3 linked regions of the Lepisosteus oculatus genome follow. The protein of the gene in region 1 purifies or fractionates together with the protein of each later gene. This does not show direct contact. Links are inferred from orthologs where the notes say so. Each region holds a gene or a part of one and is shown in the gene's direction. Other genes may lie near its edges. The genes, in order: ptpro, sdf2l1 and dnajb11.

The links.
Region 2: the proteins of ptpro (region 1) and sdf2l1 purify together in Homo sapiens (affinity purification with mass spectrometry; 3 studies listed by BioGRID and IntAct, with this or other methods). This does not show direct contact. The link is inferred for Lepisosteus oculatus from reciprocal best matches to the Homo sapiens genes PTPRO and SDF2L1.
Region 3: the proteins of ptpro (region 1) and dnajb11 purify together in Homo sapiens (affinity purification with mass spectrometry; 3 studies listed by BioGRID and IntAct, with this or other methods). This does not show direct contact. The link is inferred for Lepisosteus oculatus from reciprocal best matches to the Homo sapiens genes PTPRO and DNAJB11.

Annotation. Positions count from the first base shown.
Region 1 is NC_090702.1:27,118,540-27,126,577, reverse strand, and holds the start of ptpro (receptor-type tyrosine-protein phosphatase O), read left to right. Parts: upstream 1-4,997; 5' UTR 4,998-5,311; coding exon 5,312-5,386; intron 5,387-8,038.
Region 2 is NC_090717.1:2,067,571-2,075,341, reverse strand, and holds the start of sdf2l1 (stromal cell-derived factor 2-like protein 1), read left to right. Parts: upstream 1-4,695; 5' UTR 4,696-4,800; coding exon 4,801-4,984; intron 4,985-6,784; coding exon 6,785-6,981; intron 6,982-7,771. Other genes in the region: uncharacterized protein, read left to right, coding at 1,620-2,351, 2,509-2,934.
Region 3 is NC_090707.1:7,356,180-7,363,624, reverse strand, and holds the start of dnajb11 (dnaJ homolog subfamily B member 11), read left to right. Parts: upstream 1-4,402; 5' UTR 4,403-4,546; coding exon 4,547-4,620; intron 4,621-5,353; coding exon 5,354-5,510; intron 5,511-7,445. Other genes in the region: tbccd1 (TBCC domain-containing protein 1), read right to left, coding at 1-106, 1,273-1,434, 1,656-1,991. UniProt on the Homo sapiens protein: As a co-chaperone for HSPA5 it is required for proper folding, trafficking or degradation of proteins.

The DNA of each region.
Region 1 (8,038 bases):
ACATTATAATCTCAAGTGTCACATGTATTGTGTATTATTCATTAAACGTGTTTGATGAAGTTTAGTTCTTTATGAGACAAGTTTAATTTGCAAGGTAGACCATAACACATATTATGGTGATTGATTCACATATTTACTATTACTCGTGTTGGTTTGTTATGCATGTATTAGTATTATATTAATTATTGGTACTGTATATTGCACATCTCTGTGTGGCAACTAGCTTTCTGATTGATTCTTAGTAGCCATAAAGCACTCTTGCAATCTACAGTTCCAATTTCTAATTCTTCCAGTAAATTAAACAATCACATCACTACACAAAGAATGGCAAAACAAGAGATTTGTCAATTTGTGGTGGACTTGATTCTGTTTGCAAGTTCAAGAACTTAGCTTATAAACATATACATACAAGAATTAAATTTCAGAAACAGAATGATGTTTCTGTCAAAAAGAAATTTTAGCACCACCTTCAGACATGATTAATAGATATGTATTTTAGCAAATCTGCAACAGCAGAGAAAAAGAATTTGTGTGTTTTGTGCTGTGTTATTGAACATATTGTTAAACTATCTGTTGCAAATTCTATGTCAATTATTGGGATTCCATATCTCAAATTGCATTCCTCAAAGCAAAAAAGTTTTGATTGTGAAGCCTTCTAGAAATGTGTGGATTTGGATGAAAAACCCTTCAGTTTTTTACAACTCTGGACTACCTCTTTTGCATATGCAAGCATTGAAAAAAGTAGAGAAAGATATTGACTCATTGCTATTTTCTCATAATTCCAGATGTTTTTCTTGTAATGCCTTTAGCAGGTTCCAGCAATAAACGTAAATTGTTCATTTTTATTATTGTCTTAGCACACGGTCAAGGACACATACTGTATACTGTAGTAGTTCAGGTGGGTAGCTGCGTCAGCATGCGTAGGCTGCAAAGGAACAAGTAATAGGTTTATTCCATGCTGAAAAGAAGAAAGAGAACACAACGTTTCGGCCGTGGAGCCTTCCCAGTATACTGTATACTGTACATTTGTATACCCATATCTTGTTTTTCTTAAGAGGCAGCAGTTTTAGCCTTATTTACTCAGATGGAAGAAAGTTCCGGCATCACTATGTGCCTAAGTATGACAACCACTGCTGTAACAGTAGGCTGTGAGGAGGGAGTCAGTACTGTGCTATAGGTTTTTGTGCTGCAGTCAAACCAGCAAGCCAGATTTTCCATTGACACTCTTTAGTTGAAGTTGTGAGTCCTTATTAAGCTGTAACATAGCTGGATCCCATGGTATGATTCTTCCTATCTTTCTTGACAGTACAAATTAAACTTGCTATTTTTTTAAATGACTTTGAATTTGACAGCTTGTATGTCTTCAAGAGCAGGACATACCAAATGAGGTCAAATAAAATGATGTCCGTGAAAATGAAAATAAGAGAAACTCAAAGAAAATGCAAATGACAATTACAATACTTATTCTACTCATAAGGCCTTTCTTAAAGCCTTGGGTTTTCTGACTAAAAATTCACTACCAGGGAATGGTCTAATGTACTACCACTCTTAAACTAGCACAGTCACTACAGGAATAACAGAATTTCATGTTCTACTGAAAGACCTGTGAAATCTGATTTCAAAACAGAATTTTTAAGTATTGCCAGTAAAACTTGAATACAAATGTGGGATAAAGAGACATGTAAAATGAGGTTGTATCTGTGTTAAGTGAGACAAGATCTACTGTAGTTGCCCAAAAAAATATCAAGTTAGTTTTTGAATTTCCCTTGTGCCTTGGAATTGCAGTTATGGGAATAAGTTACTGTATCAATATCCATGATTTGGGATATTCTTGCGGAAGTGAAATTATAATTTTGACAATTGAATAAATGAAGCCATTATGTCTTCAGGTGTTGCATTTTGTGCTTGAGGGAAAGTCCACACACACGAGAACTAATCAAGTCACAAGAGAACTTGCACTCAATCTGTTTGTCTGTGGAAACTGACTTTTAAGAAAAACAAAAGTTGGAGATTTCTACAGAGAGCAAGAATTGAAAGATATATATATACAGAGCATTACTGCTTGTCTCTCAGTTAGTTACTATCTGACTATAGTCCCAATCCCTAATCCCTTTGAACATACTGTACATGTACTGTATGATTCACCCCCATGGTTGTCTGAAATGGGAGGCATAGTGAGAACACGAGCCTCTAATCAGTTCCCTCTACTGCAATATCACAACCCCTGTGAGAACATCACTTTAGTAGTTAAAATCCTGAGAAATACTAACAAAGTCAACCCAATTGACTTCTTCCTTCTTAGCAACTAGAGCATGTATTCAAAAACACAACTGGAAAGGTAAAGAAAGTGCATTCAGGACCGGAAATAGGAGAAGCCCCTTGACATACAGTACCATTGTGGATGACTGGACTGAACTTTGTTGTTGAAATCAATTAATATACCTGGGATCCTTCAAGAAATGGCTGTTCAAGATCCTAGGGCCACTAGGCCCTACATGCCCCTTGGACCACATCTATACCATCTACCTCATTATGAGTTCTTATTTATTGCACATCTCCAGTCATTGTTTACACGTCTGCATTGTTTACATTCATATTGCTTACTTGTTTACTTGTACATTGTCTACTGTTTGTTTGTATATTGTCTTGATGCACTGTCTGCACTTTGTGTTTTTACACTTGTTTTACCAGTCGAGAGACTTTCTGTAAGTAAGAATTCCATTGTACCCATACATGTACCGGTTACATATGGCAATAAAGTTCAAGTTCAAGTTCACTAGATAACTAACTCTGATTTAAACCATTTCCTGTTTGAAACTTTCCTTGTGTTCATATTTTACATGGTACCTCAAATGTTTAATAAACAAATAATTCTAGCAAAAACAATATAACAAATAATGACATTGTGGTGCTTTCAAAAGTTAAGCAATAACAAGTTTTAAACAAAGATTTAAAGAAAAAGCTACAATTCCTTGGGCCATTGCAATATTGGCATGAATCTGTCTTGAACTGATCACCTTTAATTATATACAGTACATTACATGCAGTACAATTCAAAGTAAAAAGTGTGAGTTTGGCTGGAGTATTTCAACTAGTACTGTAGTTAACACAGTGGTTGAAAGAAAAAAAAAACAGTTCATGAGAAATATTAAATGACTTCCTTAAATGCATCTTATTCACATACAACAGCTTTGGAATGAACTGGAACTGAAAAATAGCTAAGATTCTCTGCACTCCTCAGATAGAGGAGTGGTACAATATTCCTGTCACCATTTTAAAAAACCTTCCTTCCAGCACTGATGCTGTTAATAAGCCAATTTTGGTTCTGCACACTACTAAATCCATAATGTAGTGCTGACATTTGCTATTTTGCCTTTTGTCTGACTATGTTTGAGAAATGTGATAGAAAATGTTAGTATTTTACCCATTTAAAACGAAAACCTTGACCTCCCCGATAACCTTACACTCCTAACCTTGCACACGGGAGTGGGTCTGTATTTCCCAGCTTGGTTGAAAGTTTTTATCAGCAAGAGGATCTGAAACGTAATCTTAACAAAAATCAGAGCCTTTTTTCCCAGCTACAGCAGAAATCTACCACCTGATAATCTATCACTGCTGTACTAGTTAATAATATACTGGTATTCACTTATGTTTCCCTTCAACACTATGTACTGTATTATTTCATATTATCAAAAATAAAATGTACAGTATACTGTATCTACATGGTGCCCCTCAAATAAAAAAAGATTCTTTAGTCAATAACATTTCTAAAAAAGAGTGTTTCTTACCTTGGGAAGGGTCTTTATACAGTAATAATATATATTTTTCCAATTTATCATAATAATACATTGAATGAATGTACAGTATTTCCTTTCATACACAAAATCAAACAACTGTGTAATAAAAAGATGGAAATGAAAAATCTAAACAAAAGAACCATGTAAGATTTTATCATTTTATAAGATTCTAGATTCTATTATTACTCATACTGTATAAGGAGTTGTATACTGTACAACATACTGTACAAAACTCTGTAGGAGTGCTGGTTTAAGCAGGCAGGTTCTGAAGCAGAATTTAAGAGACTCAAATCCCTGATCTCAGGGAAGAGTACTTCGTAACCTACATGTGCGTTTATAGGAGAACGCTCTCTCACCCATCGTTCTGTTGAGAACACAATAAACTAGTGTCTGAGGACCATAGAGTGTGGCTGAGGGTCATGATTTGTCAGGTAAGAAATTGGAGGGGGGCTTCATGGCATTAAAAGTCAGCAGCAGTGTCTATACTAAGTGAACATTTCCAGCTGTCTCAAAAGAGCGGTTTTATGTTCACCAGAATGAGGCCAAGAACGTTAGCTGAGTTTTGGACATACTGTACTTGAGTTTTTGTGAATGTATCTCGCTAAGTAACAGTGCTTGTAACTGTTTCAGTAATTAATTAAATAAGGTGGAGGAGTACATTGGGTGTTAAAAATTTAACAATTATATTAAGGAAATACAGTATATCAAACTAATGTATAAACCGAAGTTTTCAGGATGAACATACAGTACCAACGTTTTAACTTGGTACAGAAGACTCGATGAAATCAAGTCTTAATCCCGGGAGAACAGAGAATAAGATAAGACACCCTGTTTCTGCTGTTCTTTTATTGTTTCATAGAGCTACTGCAGTCATCATAGTATTTTCAGTTTCATAAATCAGCTTGTTTCTTGGCATCGAAATCTGCTTGGCCGGTATCGTTTTTATGGTTTGAGCTCAGTGCACTCAGATTTCTGATTCAAATATAAAAATGTTATTTATGCAATACATGAATGTAACAAGCCTCTACATTTTGGTAAAATTGAAACACGTCGTGCTGCCAAGGACCCCCTTCAGCATGAGAAAGTGAATTCTATTTTAATATGCTTCACTTCTCAGTCCATTTGGTGAGAGATCTGGGCGGGGCGTCGAGGGGAGGAGAGTCCGAATGTGCCCCCTGCGTGTGTCAGTCTCACCAGGAATGTGATGGGAGATGCTGGTTTCTCTGTTCATCTCATAAAGCCGTGTAGGGATTGTAGCTTTGCATCTCCGACGTAAAGTATTCTTCTTAACTGATGGCGATTTTACTGTCTACTGAGATCAGAACTTCTTTGGTGTTTTGAAAACAGCTTTAAGCGGCGCTCTAACAAAGGTGAAATTTAGGGAGAGAACATCACTGTGCGCCTTAGGTTAGGTGAAAGGGAAGCAATGCCAGCGATCTGATGCTGCAGAAAATTCGCCATTGTTTCGACGAGAAGCCGATTTATCATTACTTAGATTTATAGTTACCTTTTCAATGTTTTGCCAAGTGGCTAACAGGATCTCCATTTTCATGCTGCCTTGTATCATATGCCTCATTTTCAGCATCCAGGTAGGAAATTCCAGCTTATTTCGCCTTTAAAATCTACAAGCAGCGCTTGACGGGACTGCCATGATTATACCGTTGCACGTTTCTTTTGGTATTTTTGTACAACTTGTGTTGAAGCTGTGTGCTATTTTAATGTATCTGATGGATCTAAAGCTTTAATCCAATTATTAAAACATATTATCTTGTTTTAGCAGTATTGCTCCATGTTAAAAGAGAAGCATGGTCTGACAAATGTTGTCGCGTTTCTGCAAAATGCTTCTTCAGGCAAAATGGGGTCATTCCGTTGAGACTGTTCGCTATTATCCTGCATTGTGATTTCACCCATTCTCATCATTTGGCCTTTGATGAAAACGCATGTTTTATTCTGAAGCGGCACAGTTTTAACACGTTTAACTTGAAGAAAAAGTGCATGTTGTAGCATTTGCTCTTTTGTGAGTTCTTTAATGAAGTTAAGTGCAAACTCTGAGCTGTCTTGCCTTCTTAATGACGGTATCGTTCCACCTGTAACATGTACTGTATGAGTTGAGTAGTATTAAAATCTAGTAGCCCCTTACATAAAATGTATTAACAGGTCTGTATTGAAAAAAAGGGGTGAGATGAAAATAATTTGTTTGAACAGAAACTTAAGTTTATGTTAATAAAAATGAATGAATGACGAGTATAAAGTATTATTATAGGATAAAATATCAATAATAATGTCTGTACTAATACCACGTTGTTATCCTTCTGAATCAGTTAATTGAATTAGGCCTGATGGTTTTAAACATAATATTTTTAATGAAAGCCTGACCTGTGCTGTAGTTAATATTTTTTTAGTTTCCTGACTAGAACATTATTTAATACAATACAGAAAATATTATAATGCATGTTCTTACTCTTTCTTTAAAGATATAATTATATACAGTACATTGTACTGTTAAAATAACCTTCAACCATTAAAAAATGCATACTATAGTAGGAATACTAGAAATTCCGTTTGTGAACTTACTATATGTGTCATGTAGATATAAGGTTATAAGGTTTTGTTTCCATTAGGTTTGTGAAATTCCTAGAAGCACTAATGTTTTTTACACTGGAATTCATTACATTTTATCTAGTAATGAAAAACTGATACCAACTTAAAGCTAAATGTTCAGGGGATACCTGGGGAAAACAAGACTAATATAAAAAAAATTAGCATAATGATTACTTACCGGCACAGAAATCTCAGTGTGTCAAAGAAACAAAGATTTTCAGCTCTTAAATTAATATACTGTATGACAAGTAATGCAATTAAGAGATTCTATCATGGCTGCACTGTAAACTTGGAGGTGGTTACATGAAGAGTATAGAGGTAGCCTACCTAAGTGGGCCAGACCTTTGGGGTATCAGTTCTGAATGGTGTAATGGGTTTGGATTTGCACTTGGGACTCAGACTAGTAGTCTCTTTATAGTGTGCAGCTGTACTTACTAAGTAGAGGAGATTTCGACTAGAGGGACCAAAGTACACTTTGTATCATTGTCTATTAGAAATATTAAGTGTTCTTAAATGTGCTTGCCATGGTAGTATGGTAGTGAGTGCTGCTACTTCATGGCTCATAGATCCTGTGTTCTGTGTGGAGTATTTCTTTTGCATTGCCTTCCACCTTGCAAACAGGTTCCGATTAGGTTAGTTGCCATCTCTAAACTTTCCCTGTGTTTCTGTGCCTATGTGTGTGCTCTTGCAGGGAATACTGTACTTCAAGTTTATGCTGGCTCTTCCTTTCTTGTTTGTATTGCAGTAAGAATTCCATTTGATCTTATAATTTTTAACCAACAGTGTATTTACGTTTGTGTCGGTAAAATAAAGCTTGAATGAAATTTTGGGTCATATACAGTATGTTTCCAGGTACAGTACAGTACTTGTTGGCTTTTCTTGTTTCTTCTGACTCATCCTGTCTTTGAAGACACCACCTCACCCATCTCCCTACATTGCTCAGAATGGGATCTCATATTCCACACTTATCTTCCTTGCTTCTAATCATTGTAGTGAAATATCATAATAGTGATTGAATCTAGGATAAAACTTAGCACATATGCGGGACTTACCCATTTCAGAGTGAAATATAATGCTATACAAATATTTGAATAAAAAGGTTAACTGGCTATTATTGTGGTTTTAACCTTTGCCAAATAAGCATAATTAAACAAGAACATGATTTTTTTTATGCTTCATCAAGCAGTTGACGCTAAAATTATTTTATTATCTGAAAGCTGCACAATCAGTTTACTGATTCTTTCTTTTCAATCTGCTTCAATACTAAATTAATGAGAAGGGTTCTTAAAGGCTTTACAGATTTGCTGTACTATGGGCGATGGAGACCAGACAATAGCTCACATCAACTTCAAGTGGACTGGACCGTCAAGTGTGCTAGGACTACGAAAACTGTGAACTGATGGTTGGTTTTCCATCAGTTTCACCACATTTCATTTAAAAGTGCAGATACAGTATGTGTATTTTCGTGGTTTGTAAGCATTATGTTTTTGTGAATCATAGGAAAAAGTGAACAATTGTACAACTAGTATAATAACACATCATAAGCTGAGCTTCATTCATTTGAACAAATAGCCACTCTTTGTTCATGAGGTATAGAAATCAAATATTTAGTGTTTTCAACAGCACATATTTTTTGTATA
Region 2 (7,771 bases), on another chromosome or scaffold:
AGGTTGCTTTTCCGGATTACCGCGCCCTCTAGTGTGAGCTATGGGAATATCTTTGTCACGGATTTTGTTTTGGAAGTGTAGTTTTCGTGCCAATATTGCTCTGGGTAGGTGTTGTAGTACACCATAGAAATGATCGCGTAGCCAGATCAGATCACCTCGAAAATAATGTCCATGCTGTTCTGAATTGGTATAAGGCATTCTGTGCCTTTGCAACAAAGAGCCGTTTCATTACAAGACGTTTTGCGTTCTCACTCCTAATCTGAAAACTGTACCGGGAAGTAACTCCTGATGAACTTGTTATATCAGTGCTCAAAAAATAAATAAATATGAACAGGTGTCATTGTTACAGTACTGTTAATATGTTAAATATTTTAGGTTTTTTTTTTTAGTTTAAGACTTTATATTAGGTTTATAGCCGAAATTCACTCAGAGAAGTAAAATTTAAAATGTAAAATGTTTTTTTTTTCGAGACAGTTTGTTGACCTCGGAAAACTTTTGAAATCGAACTGGAGGTGAAAACCAAGTCTTACCAACTCGCGCCAGATGAGAAATTCGGGGCTGGGGGCGTCTTCAGCTATACTCTATGTGTCAGTGTGTCATCTGTTGTCTTCGTGCTCCGTATGCGGCAGAGAAACTAGAGAAACGTGTCATTAGTTCAGGTCAAACACAGGTGCGACGCGCCTGCTTACACGTCAAACGCGCTGCCTGGAGTTCTTTTCCATCCCGACGTGCGCGTACATAACGACGCGGTTTTTCTGACTCCCCGAGGGAATGATTCAGGAGTTGCGATATTAAGACAGACTGGCGTGTACAACATCATCAAACTGATGTACTGAGGAGAAACAGTCTATAACTGAGTAAATTGTTCTCCAAATACACACACTGACGCCTTCATACTACATTTCATGTAACATTCCCTCATTTTACTGAGAACTAAAGGGACACTGCATCCAGACTTTTCAATACTGGATAGCCAATGTCGGGATTAATAGGTTAGAAAAAAAACGCGTGGTATTTTTCGCTAAATTCTCATAAATACCTACTGAACCGGCGGGGTGGAGATTAGCGCTGCTGGTTCACATGTTCTCTTGAGTGTCCCGGTCCGCGCTTGCAGTCCAAAGAGCCGGGTGTCCAGGTTAATCAGAGTCTCTGGACGGACCCCGGCCGGTGTGCGTGTGCACGGCGAAGGCTTCAGCGTGCCCCTCGTGGACGCGCTTGAGTCTTCCAGCGAGAGGCTTGAACAGGATGCCGCCCCCACCCCGATCTAACCTAACAAGCGACGTCCTGAACGGTCTGGCACGGGCACTACCAAAGAACACGCCTGCGGGGGCTGTTCTGCAAATGCCCGGCTCCCTAGCAGCAGCTGATAGAATGTCGATAGAATATCTCAATCGCTTCCGACAATGACGCGACAATGGATCTGTTTTTGTAATGCGTGGAGTTCTATTCGGCGACCAACCGCGCAGGTCTAGTGTCGGGGAAGGCAGAATGTCCACATTGCAAGAGGTTCGGCGTCCATGGTGGCAGGGCGCTGGTCTTGAATGGGGCTGAAGGAAGGCCGCTCATCGGTTGGGTTGGATCCGCGGTAGCGGTGGGTTTTGCCCTCGAACCCGCTAAAAATGGAACCGTGGCACCAGAGCGAGGAGACCTCGCCCGATTCAAAACCAGACGCGACGTGCTCGGCGCGCAACGCCTCTGAAGACGCAGAGAAATTCATCAGACGCCTCGTGGTGGAAGAAGGCCAGCGTCTGATGGCGGACAAAACCCTCTACAGGAGACCGTCGTGGTCTCCGAACATCCAGGGTGACCAGTCCCGCTCAGAGATGGCCGCCCCCGTGCTTGGTCACCCCCACGCCGAGGTCAAGGGGTTCATCGAACAACGTGGGGTTCTGGACGCTTTGGAAAAAGTTGTTTCTTTGCTGTTTCATAAACTGGTGGAAGCCACAAACTCGGATGGGCATCCGGTCTTTAAAACGGACCGGGGGAGCGACCGCTACCACGAGGTCGAGTCCGGAGAAGTGGCTGACATGCTGGACAGGGAGATCCGTCTGTGCCGGCTGGTGAAGGGCCTGGAAAGCGTGTCGACAGCTGCCCCCGACCCGGAGCCGACGCCGGCTCAGATAAAAAAAACAAAGACGCGCACCCCGAAAGAAAGATCCGAGCGACCTCCCGCGACACACGCCCAGGACGTCGCTCCGGGAGGGGCGGCGTGTCCTTGCTGTGAGAAAAACACGGCGCACCCCGCGCGAGAAACCAGGAAACCCGCCCCCAAAACCGCTCCCCCGAAGGCAGGCAAAGGAAGACAAAATAAAGCAGCAGAAATCTCGGAAAATACCGCCGCATGGAAGAAGGTAGGAAAAAAAAACAACCTCACCCACGTATATTTTTTAAATTGCTAATAACAGTGGTCTCCGACAGACCTGTTCTCTGGCGTCAACACTACAACGTGCGTTCCTGCGGGAGATCACACAAGCCGGCCAGAGTCACAGGTCTGTGTTCTTTGCACAGACTGGCGGGGGAGCCGCCGAGCAGCCCAGCGATGACCCCAGGGTGAGCCTCAGACGGATTCTGGAGGAGGCCTATTGGAACATGAATGACTGGACCAAGAAAGGAGTGGAGCTGTCTCACAAACTGGGCATACTTTTGACCCCATCTGAAAGGAGCAGGCAGGAAGTTAAGACCCTCGGTGGGAAGGCAGAGCTCGGGTCCCAGGGCCTCCTGACTGAGGGCCCGGCGCCCCCGCACCCTGCTGCCGCCGGGGCCTGCGAGACCCCTGTCCAAGCTGAACCAGAGGCGACGCTCCCTGGGCTCGACAGTGCCATGGCAGCGCAAGAGGCCATCTCTTCTTCCCACCAGCTCCCTGCTGAGAAGGAAACAGCGGAGAGGCCCATCTCTCCCACAGACGGCGCACCTTTCCCACAAACAGAGGGATGAGGAGTGTTTGGGCCGCTGTCCAGCCAGACTATTCCATGTTTCGGCAGCCCTTCAGCCACAATAAAAAAACAAAGAGGTGATCACGTTCTCTTGTACCATGTAGAAAATGGCAAAGATCCCTGAATTATTGATACCCTGTATGGAGAGATCAATGTTTTGTTTTAAAACGAAAGCTTTTATTTGCTTCCGATCCTAGTCAATTAACCAGTTGCTGCCCTCTCCCTCTCTCCCCAGACGCCTGAAGAGGCTCTGCTGCTAAAACACATTTCTTTTTTTTCTATTTTATTTTCCACAGTGTGGGATTAGCTCGACTGTATCCCTTTGCAAACTTAGTCGAGTTCAAACCTGATGCCAAACGCAAGGGACCGGCACAAAGATTTAGGTATAATTCAAGACACCCAGAACTCACGACCACAATGCAAAGGCACATGCAGAAATGCAGAAACATTTTCTTGCAGTAAAGTGCAGAGTTACACGCGTGTGTAAATAAGAGTGTTGTAGCTCGACCATAAACTTGGGAACACTGAGCTTAAAAGGCTATCTATGAAAAAGCATTAGATATCTATTTTAACTCATCATTTTCATCCCCTAGACAATGACATAAATAAATGTTAGGACACATAGCTAGTCGTTCAAACTTAAAATAGGGGTACTCGTTTTAGAATTGTACAGTGCACTAGTAGGAATTTAAGTCATTTAGAATATTCTACATTTTAATTTAGGTCACCAAAGCATTAACATATATTGCTTCTCTTGAATCAGGCAAGAGAGCAGCAATCAGATACATACAGGGGCTTCAAGAACTCCTGTCTTCCCGTCAAGCTAAAAGAACGTCATCTTTTTAGTGTTAAACAGGGAGGAATACTAGGAGAAATGGTTCCAGTCTCGTGGACTTCTTCAGAACTAACAGTAAGACACAAATCACCGAACACAAATGGAAACTAAGAGGAAGTTAATTTTATATCTGTACACACAGAGCTGTGGGAGTCTGGAACAAGCTTCACAGTCCTGTTATTGATAACATTTCATTCGTTTGAGAAACTGCCAGAAAAAAACCCTCAGGTGAAATGGTCTACTAGAAATTGAACAAATTAAATCGGCTGAAAGGCCTCCTGTTCTTTATACTATTTCGTACGTTTCAGTGATTTCCAGTCCACCCAATCCAAGCCATATAGACCTTCATACAAGTCTTTAACTCGTGGCCGACAGTCTCCTTAATCCTGATTAGTTAAAACAGTGATGTAATCGAGACCAATTCATAAAAGTGTATGCATAGAATTCGGAAAAATCGCTTTTCTGTGTTGTATATTTAATATTTGTGAAAGATCTTTCCGCTCTTCCTAGGATTTTTAGAAAATAATTTTAGACCGAGTAAAAGAAGAAAAAACTTGTTTAATTTCATGCACTGCAATTCCATAGTCTTCCCGAAATTCCTGTCTACATTTCAAATTTACAAATAGTGAACTTTTGTTGCGGAGCGCAATTACATATTACTTTACAAGTGGTAGACCTGCCAAGCTGGTGCACAGAGTCTCTGGCAGCTCATTGGGTGAAGCCGAGCAGCCAAGTTTTCTAAAGAGCCAATTAAATTCCTGCAGATGTACTTACGTTCGGAACGATATTGGCTCTTGCGACCAGGAACAAAGGAGAGCCAATCAGAATAAGAGAATCTGTTTAAAATTTCCGCCCCCAGATCCACAGTGACCAATGGAAAAACAGCATGTGGGAGCCACGACTTCCGTACACCACGACTTGTCAAGCGCTGATTGGCTGAAGTCTGCCGGTTTGAAAGCGTGTTGGTGCCTTTTCTACATCCTGTCCCTTTTGTAGAAATAAAAGAAATTAATTCCGCTTGTACTTCGAACGATGAGGTTATTCCGGGATTTCCGAGATCACATCTTTATGAAGCTCTTTCTGCTGCTTTACATCTTGTTGCAATGCGAGGGTCGTGAGTCGGAGTTCAGTTACGTTACCTGCGGGTCCCTGGTAAAATTACTTAACACAAGACACAACGTGAGATTGCATTCCCACGATGTCAAATACGGTTCAGGTAAGACTGCTTGTGTGGGTAGAGTTACTGTTTCCATGCTCTGTGTTTGCGAACCCTTTTCGGTTTTGAAGCAAGTCTGCGTTTGCTCTGTCCAAATGCTTTTGTGTTCCTGAATGTCAATTTTTGAGTGAAATTCACCTCTAACGTGTATTAAGGCAAGGATTTCTATATCTGTGCATTCACTTGTTTCTTCACCTAACGCTTAACAACACAAATCTGTCATAGTAACCATTCCAGGTTCTGTTAGTACCGCCTGTGGTAGGTAGCATTCTTTTGATAGATTGTTCCTGTGACTGTCAAGTAGTTTGAACGTGTAAAACCTCTATAACGGATAGTTTCATAGCAAGCAAATCTCTTCTGGGAATTAGAAGCCGCCCGATTAATGTATGTTGCTGTGCACCTGTGTACCAGCTACCTGTTAGGTGTCATTTCCGGTAAGTGGACGGCTGCGCTCTGAAACGGGTTTAGTTTATTCCCCTATGCGGCGAGTGTTCGCACACATCGGACAGGCTGTCAGCTTCCCAAGAGGGAAAACGAGAGCGAGCTGTTAAGTAAATGAGGGTCAGGTGTCAGCGGAGCCCTGGTGGAGTCCGCGACCAGGACTGTGCTGGTCTGCGGCCAAACGCAATATTGTTCCTCGCCCTCACTCGCATCCCCATCTGGTGGGTCGCGTGTGCTGATGACTGAAACAGATTTTTTTTTTATTTACACTGTGTCACAAATGGTAAAGGGTAAGAATAAGACAAGTTAACTAAGAGACCAAGCAATAAGTATAAGGACGCAGAGAAAGGAGATTTTTTTTGTTCATTTCTATATTCTAGAGATTTTATTTGAGTTATGTTATGTTTTAGATCCTTGCTCTCTCTCTTTCTATACAGTGCAGTTACTTTTTTTTCTGAAAGCTTTTTGCAATGTGTGAGCTTTCTGTATTCTCTGTTTTGCTCCCAAAAAAGTTTTAGCACTTATCTGAAACAAGAAACAGCTTCAGATGAATTGGCCAGCAGCCATATCACCCTGCAACTCACAGCTGGCAGCCCACTGAAGCTCAGCAGGTGTGAGCCTGGTCAGTACCTGGATGGGAGCCTCCTGGGAAAAACTAAGGTTGCTGCTGGAAGATGTGTTAGTGGGGCCAGCAGGGGGCGCTCACCCTGCGGTCTGTGTGGGTCCTCATGCCCCAGTATAGTGACGGGGACACTATACTGTAAACAGGCGCCGTCCTTCGGATGAGACGTAAAACCGAGGTCCTGACTCTCTGTGGTCATTAAAAATCCCAGGGCGGTTCTCGAAAAGAGTAGGGGTATAACCCCGGGGTCCTGGTCAAATTTCCCATTGGCACTTGCCAATCATGGCCTCCTAATAATCCCCCTCTATGAATTGGCTTCATCACTCTGCTCTCCTCCCCACTGAGAGCTGGTGTGTGGGGAGCGTTCTGGCGCACTATGGCTGCCGTCCCATCATCCAGGTGGGGCTGCACACTGGTGGTGGTGGAGGGGAGACCCCATTACCTGTAAAGCGCTTTGAGGGGAGTGTCCAGAAAAGCGCTATATAAGTGTAAGCAATTATTATTATTATTATTATTATTATTATTATTATTATTATTATTATTATTAATTGGCTTCTCACTTCCAAGTGAGCTGTAGACGGGCCGAATGGCGTTCTCTCTCGTAGCCCGTATGCTCTTAAAAGAGAGTGGAAGAAGAGTCAAGTTTCTGCTCCCTGTTGCTCTGTGCTCCCAAGCCTGGACCCCACCATCGTAACCTCCTGAGCTGCGACGTGACGCTGGCGGTGTGTTTCCGGCAGGTAGCGGTCAGCAGTCGGTGACTGGAGTTGAAAACTCGGACGACGCCAACAGCTACTGGCGCATCCGGGGCAAGCCCAACGCCCCCTGCCAGCGAGGGGCGCCCGTCAAGTGTGGCCAGCCCATCCGCCTCACTCACATGAACACGGGCCGCAACCTCCACACGCATCACTTCGTCTCGCCGCTGTCCGCAAACCAGGTACGGCCTCGCGCCCGGGACTGCCTGGTCGGGGAACGGGTACCGGTTTACTGCGCGTTAAAGGAAGAGGGGAGACGCAGCGTTTCGGCTGCAGAGCGTTCTTCCAGGCACCTTGAGACCCCTGGAAAAGGCTCCACAGCCGAAACGTTTGGTCTCTTTACCTTTGAGCTTGGAATAAACCTTCACCTGTTCCTCCGCAGCCTAGGCATGCTGACGCAGCTCCCTACCTGAACTGCTGTCACCTTGTCAGCCTCATCCTGTGCTGGAGCGTCCTCACAGCGGGCAGATGTGCTTTACAGATGTTCACTCTAGAGTATTCTGTGTCCCGAGACTCCTGACGCAGGGGGGAAGTTCTAGCTAAAAGCAGCCATTAAAATTGAATGGATATTTGAGCTGTAATGTAAAAAGTCCTTCTGACAGAGGAATTTTGCTGGATTCTTGGCTTGGATTCTGGGAAATGCTGATTTACATGTGCTTCTGTATAATTATGAGTAGCACGACTCTGATATAAGTCATTTTAAAAAGACTGGATTGTTCTCAGAGAACATTTCCCTATACCTAGTCAGAAGTGCGGAGTCTGAAACAGTACTGCCGTAGGGAGTTGAACTGTACATATTCATGATCTGCAGTAGTCTAGCTTTAAAAACTGAAAGATAATCAATCTGAGCAAAAACTGCTTAAATCATTTGATATAGCCATAGCAGATGTGAGTGATGTTTCCCAGAATTTAAATAAGCCATCAATTGAAGCCTGCAAGACTGACTGCTGGTCGTTGAGAGTCTCAGAGCTC
Region 3 (7,445 bases), on another chromosome or scaffold:
GCACTGCCTGGCCCGGCCCGCCCAGCTGCTCCGGCTCAAGAACCAGCTCCAGCAGGTCTGACAGGTGGGTCTGGATGAAGCTCAGGTGGGCCTGGTCATCCCAGTTCTGCAGTCCGGCAGGGAGATGAGCACAGAGAGACAGGTGAAGTCAAGAGAACATCTTTTTTCCCCATCATGCTCAATGGAACTGTACACATTTTGGTCTTACTAGTGCACTGTACAATAAGAACGTAACATCCCTCAATATAAAAGCTGTGCTTCTAACTTTAGATCCTTACATGCCTTTCTTGTTGGTTTCCCACGTTGTCTAAATCAGGGACTCAGTCCTGGTCCTGGAGTGCCAGTTTTCTGCTGGTTTTTGTTCCAGATGGCACTTAATCAGCAATACTAATCTGTACCTGCACCTGATCTGCTTGTTGGTTTACTTTTTTTCCCCCACACTCACCCCTTGGTTTCAAGAGCACCCCAACATACATTATTTCCAACAGACGAGAGCTTAGAACCCCTTCTTTATTTTTAGTTACTTTTTGCTACTTACATGTCACACTCCACACTGGTCTACACCTGTCAGGTGTTTGTCAACTCTTGAATTGTAACTAACTTTTTTTTTTATTTCATGTGCAGCTCCTAGTACTTGTTAAACTCTCCCTTGTGGTATTATTTTCAAAAATTGCCTAGTTTCCTAACTATATCAGAGTCCGATTGGTTCTAGATATAAAATAGGAAGGAAAGCCCTGTGGTCCTAATACATAGCCCTGTGGTACTCCACTAATTATAACACCTCAATTTGAGTCTTCACTTCTTTCTGTACTCTAAGCACTCATTAACCAGTTCTCACAGAAGAGACATACATCTCCTTGAACTGTGCCTTTTACAAGAAATTCAAGGAAATCAATGTCTCTGGTTCGAGAACTGCCTGTGATTTTCAAATTAGACTAAGGTACTTGATCAAAGGCTTTCTGAAAATCTAAGTACTCCACATGACATGCTCGTTCTGTATGCCCTACTGCTCTTGCTAGTTCAAACAAGTTCTAACACGTCAGCTAGCAAGGCCAACCTTTTCTACATCCCTGCTGGTTATCCCTTTGAATCACCCTGCTATTGAAATGATCCCAACGGTCTAGTTCTAATTTGTGTTTGCCACAACCTTACATGCAAAACGAGTAAGACCGATTGGTCTGCAATTACTAGGGCCTCTGCCGAAGCACCAGTCTGTGAGGAGGCCGGCAGCCTGCGAGCCGCGGCGCTTGCCGGGGTGCGGCGGCCGAGTACCTTGTTCTGCGCGGCGGTTTTGGCGTCGCGGTCCGGGGAGGGCGAGCGGGAGCGGGACCGGGGGCTGGGCCACTCCTCGCCGATCAGGGACGTGCGCAGAGAGACGCGGTTCAGCTGCTGGATGTAGAGAAACAGCAGGAACTGCAGAGTGTCCACGGAGAGCTGGGAGGGGGACACAGAGAGAGTGGGGACGAGTAGGGGGGCGGAAGAGATGAAAGGGGTGGTTAAGACGCCGTAAAACATCTGATCCCTGCCATCTCATCATGCCCAGAAAGGAATGGGGGCAGATATCCTTGAAGCCCCCTGACACCACTGCCTTTCGCCTCTCACCACTCCCCCTCGCCTAACCCCGTGCTCCCTGCGCTTCAGGCTCCTCTCCCCACCTTGTACCGCAGCTTGTCCAGCTCCTCCACCGAGCCGCACTGCGACACGGCCTCCGCCCACTCCAGCCGCTCCTCCGGGGGGCGCGGTGCCAGCAGGTCGCAGGTCTCGAAGTAAAGCCAGGCGGTGTCTTCGGGCAGCTGCAGCTTCCCGCAGGCGATGTGGCGCCAGAGCGGCCAGTGCAGCCGCGGGAAGCAGCCCTCCCGCGTCCGCGCTCGCACGTAGGCCGCCATCTTGCGGAGGTAGTGCATGCTGAACTTGGCGGGGGGGGCAGCTGGCAGCACGCCCAGGAGGAAGGGCTCCAAGCGTGGCCACACACTGACGCTGCGCTGCTCCATCACCCTGAGGGAGAGAGAGAGGCAGGGACAGAGGGGTTAAAACACACACTGACACCCTGGGAGAGAGAGGCAGGGACAGAGAGGTCAAAACACACACTGACACACTGGGAGAGAGAGGCAGGGACAGAGAGGTCAAAACACACACTGACACCCTGGGAGAGAGAGAGGCAGGGACAGAGAGGTCAAAACACACACTGACACCCTGGGAGAGAGAGAGGCAGGGACAGAGAGGTCAAAACACACACTGACACCCTGGGAGAGAGAGAGGCAGGGACAGAGAGGTCAAAACACACACTGACACCCTGGGAGAGAGAGAGGCAGGGACAGAGAGGTCAAAACACACACTGACACCCTGGGAGAGAGAGGCAGGGACAGAGGGGTTAAAACACATACTGACACTGCACTGCTCCGTCACCCTGAGAGAGAGAGAGAGGCAGGAACAGAGGGGTTAAAACACACACTGACACCCTGGGAGAGAGAGGCAGGGACAGAGGGGTTAAAACACACACTGACACTGCACTGCTCCGTCACCCTGAGAGAGAGAGAGAGGCAGGAACAGAGGGGTTAAAACACACACTGACACCCTGGGAGAGAGAGGCAGGGACAGAGGGGTTAAAACACATACTGACACTGCACTGCTCCGTCACCCTGAGAGAGAGCGGCAGAGACAGAGGGGTTAAAACACACACTGACACCATGGGAGAGAGAGGCAGGGACAGACAGGTCAAAACACACACTGACACCATGGGAGAGAGAGGCAGGGACAGAGGGGTTAAAACACACACTGACACCCTTGGAGAGAGAGGCAGGGACAGAGGGGTTAAAACACACACTGACACTGCACTGCTCCGTCACCCTGAGAGAGACAGGTTAAAACACACACTGACACCATGGGAGAGAGAGAGAGAGGCAGGAACAGAGGGGTTAAAACACATACTGACACTACACTGCTCCATCACCCTGCGAGAGACGGGTTAAAACACACACACTGACACCATGGGAGAGAGAGAGAGGCAGGGACAGAGAGGTCAAAACACACACTGACACCCTGGGAGAGAGAGACAGGCAGGGACAAATACAGACCAGTCTGACTGGCACTGCCCAATGCTAACATGGCTGAGAAGGTGCCGATGGAGTGAGAAGAGACGGAAACAGCAATAGCTGTAGGACACAGGAGTCACACAGTAGCCCCTACCGATGACAAGCAGTCTAACTGCAGACACGTAGGAGAAACGCAGATGAGGGGAGAAAGATGACTTGGCCAAGACTCTCCAGAAAGGCTGGCAGGCAGAAACCACCGGATAAACCACCAGAGAAAGACGCTGCAACACCAAGGAGTCAAAAAGACCGTTTCTAACCCATGCCACCTGGACTACATGAACGTTAAAGGGAAAAAAACACTCGCCACTCAATGTTTCAAGTGTAAACTTGCGTCGTACGCAGTGGACGATTTGGCTATTTTCCCGTATTCTTGACGGAGGGAAACAAAACGTGCACGACCGAGGAAAGCCCCAGGTGTCGGCTCTGTGGCCTTCGCCAACACCCAGCCGGCTCCGGCGGAAAGCCCTCCGCGTCCCCATGGCAACAGCTCCAGCGAGGGCCCCGTCTCCCCGACCGACATACCTGGCGCTCCCTCGCCGCAACACAACAGACACGCAAGCTTCACCTTCCGCGGACCGGCCCCGCCGTCCCGCTGAGGGCTGGGGGCTGGGGGCTCCTCTGTAAGTCTTAGTACACTTATCTGGCGACCCCTGTGCCCCCACAGGTTAATACGAAAGGGGTTTCTGTCTCTGTCCTGCTTAAAACAGCCGGCCGCCTCTCTCTTGCTTTTGGCGCCGCCGCTTCCTCGGCCTCGTGAGCGCGCACGTCGTCAGCTGGAGCGCGGGCACGAGCAGGAGGCGCTGGCTCCAGTCCTGCTTCCTAAAAAATTCCCAGCGCATTAATTAACCATCCGGCCTGATTCCGACACCGACTGCTTTAATGTCAGACAACACACACCGCAAGGTCGAGTCTTCCAACAGCACGCTTGCGGGGAAATAAATCGTTATGTTTAAAATGTTATTTCTAAGCTCTCAGTACGGGATTTTATCCACAGAAGCTGAGGCAGAGCGTTCCGCTCACAAAACTCGGACCGATTTAAAGTGTTGTGAAATGGGAGTCAGATTTGCTTGTGTTTTTTTTTTTTTACCAAAAGACTATAACCGTAACAGGTATTTTCAGAAAATTAAACCCGGTGACAGCTTTTATATCCCCCACCCCATAACACACAAACAAAAACGAATAGCTTCTGCTCAGCAACTGATTTGAAAGTAAGGCGCCCTTTCTCAAGAGGGCGGCGTGCTCAGCTGCCCAAGCCCAGCGCGCCCCCTGCAGGCAGGCCGGGGAGGGGCGGGGCCTTCGCGGGGGCGGGCCTTCCGGGCGGAAGCGCCGCTGCCGAGCCTGCGGGAGAGAGGCAGAGTGACAGGAGGGCCGGAGCGCAGAGGGGGAGAGAGCCGGAGAGCGGGCTGAAGTGGACAAATACAAAAACTACATAAAAAAAAAAACTAAACATCCATATGGCTTCCAGGGTACTGAGTCTGAGCAGCGCCTGCTGTCTGCTGCTGTATTTCGCGGCGGCTGTGCTGGCAGGGTGAGTCAACCGAGGCGCTTTCAGCGGCGCTCATACCGGCTGGTACACATGTTGCGCTGTGATTGGTCTGCCGCGGCTCGGACCCTTCCGCCGGGCTGGGCGGCGATGGCAAGCCGCCGCTTGTGAATTGCGGGTTTTGAGGCTGTTGCACTTTTTAACAGGCTTGCTGGCGGCGTGTCCCCGTAGGGGAGCTGGTGTATGTTGCACTGGTGTTGCCTGGTCGCTATACACGCTTTGAAAGGGCTGGCGCAGGGTCCGATGTACGCACCTCCTTACCTAACACACCGGTCCGTGCCCTGTTACATACTGGGATGCATCAGCCCGTTTCTTTAAAACTATCTCGTCAGTTTTTTTTTCAAATATATATATTTTAAGTGGGTTGCAAAACTGTACGCAGACGTTTCCATGAATGCAACCGACTCGGGGTTCCCTCTCGTTCGGGGTTCATTCGCTCGTGGGTTCGGTTTCCTTTCGGCTGACTGGAGGGAACACCAGCCCCATTGCGTGTTTCATGTCCGTCCCCTGCATCTGGGAGGGATACTGTGGGAATCCTGGAGTGTCCCTTCTGACTGTAATAAAGACTTTCCTGTGCGCGCTCTCAGAGTCTCTTCACACTGGACCCCACAGTGCTCGTCCAACAGCCCCGAGGGGTACAGGGGGGAAATGGAGCTGTCTGTTTCCAGCTTGCGTGTAAGCAGCCCTCTCCGTGGCGCTGTCTGTTCCTCGGTTCCAGGCGGGATTTCTACAAGATTCTCGGGGTGTCCCGGTCGGCGTCCATCAAGGACATTAAGAAGGCGTACAGGAAACTGGCCCTGCAGCTGCACCCGGACCGGAACCCGGACGACCCCCAGGCGCAGGACAAGTTCCAGGACCTGGGCGCGGCGTACGAGGTGGGTGAGCCGGGCCCGACTGGAGCGCGGAGTCCTGCTGCTCCTCGGTGCCCCCAAGCGCAGTGGAAACCAGTGAGCTGGACCTGCAGGAGGCTGCTGCTGGGGCACAAGGGGATGACCTGGTTTGATTTTGACACGTCCCTAGAAGCGTCCCTAACATTCCCGACGAGTGAGCCGCAGGAGGCCAGCAGGGCTGCCCCTGTAACGCCAGGGCCTGGTAGCTCATGGATATCACCGGTACCAGGAGTGCGTGTGTTGCTTTGTAAGGTGTTGGCATCATTTCCTTGAGCAATACGACAAACAGTACACAAACAACAAGGACATCCCAGCACAGTACAAGTGCAGCTCCCACCCCCAGCTGTGAGCAGGTGTTTAATAGCCTCAGCTGGCTTCTCACCTGCACTCAGGCAGAAATCAGTCTGTGCTGCTCTTGCTGAAATATTCACAGCAGGATTGCTGCCCAGTACCACACCCTGCTGTAGCAGTACGTGCTGTGACTAAAGAAGTCAATGATATGAATGCTAGTATATCAACTTATAATAAACTTTATTTTATATAGCTCCTTTAAAGGTGGCTTCTCAAAGAGCTTTACAGAACAACAACAATGAAATAAAAATTACACAAGATTTGCACAATGAGATCACACAATGAGAGGAGACAGTAGATGGGGGTACTGAATACAGTAGGATCAGGGGGTAAAGAACAGAACCAGTCAAGGAAAGGTGTTTCTGAAGAAGGTGGCTTTGAGTCTGGATTTGAAGGAGTTTAGAGAAGGTGGCTCTCTGATATCCCTGGGGACTTCTGCGGCGTTACTGTAACCCTCCTCTCTGGCTGGGTGATGGAATCCTTCCTGCCCTACACTTGCACTGGGCCCCGTCCAGTGATTTCGATTATATCACTCGATCTCTTCTTTCACTGCCTTGTCTCCTGTGCTATAGAGTGTTTCGGTTCAGGTTGTCACTGGAAATGTCAACTGGCTCAACGGGTTAGACAAAGGTCGGTGATTGCCCAGCAGGTCTGTGGTGTTTGTGGGGCCTGTCAGTGATCCAGAGGCTGTAGTCACACCTGGACTGTTCTGATTGGCTCAGCTGTTTCCTTCCTGCTGTCTCTCTCCCTCAGAGAACGGGGGTGGGTGGGTGGGGGTGTGTGTGTCAGTATAGACCCCGGAGAGAAAGACAATCGCCTTACTGGCATCTGGGCTACAGTTGTGTAATATTATAGCACCTTGTGTCGTGGACTATGCTTTTGTACAACCCACAGTAACATTAAAAGGAAAATCTGGGTCATGATACCCAGCAAGCCCTGAGCCTGAAACTCAAGCAGGTGTTGTTGTTTATTAGCTCCTGGGCCTTTTTTGGCAAGACAGACCTAATTAAATTGTCTTCCGAAGAAAACGTATGTGTAATGTAATAGCGTCCCTTCTGTTAGACCTGTTTCCTGAATCTTCTCTCGTTCGGTCTCAGTTGTCTTTAGCAACGTGTTTCGGTTGCAGCAACGTAAAATTCAAAACGTCGATGGCTTTTTCCAGAATCGCGCTTGACTGGGGCACGGCAGCTCCGTACCGGCATTAATTAGGTGTGTTTTGATGACGTTATTAATTGCACCTGCCGCGATGTGGAAGAGCTCGGGGCTCAGAGAGCACGCTGCCTCTCGTGAGCCGCTGAGAGTTCCTTTGTTGTTGGAAACGGAGGCCCGTCCTGATTGGTGGACAAGCATGTGTGGCCGCATGTGATTGGTTGAGGGGTGAAGGGGTGAAAGTTGAATTAGCCAGCTGTTTTAACCACGCGGCTGTCTGAGACGCCGGGACCGGAAATCTGCGAATCTGCTCATTACATAGTAATTTAATATGAAACTACATCAGGAAATCTTAAAAGCGTTCTTTTCCCAGCTATAGCAAGCGTTATTTCAGAAGAGCTGCTGTACATTTGTAGAAAA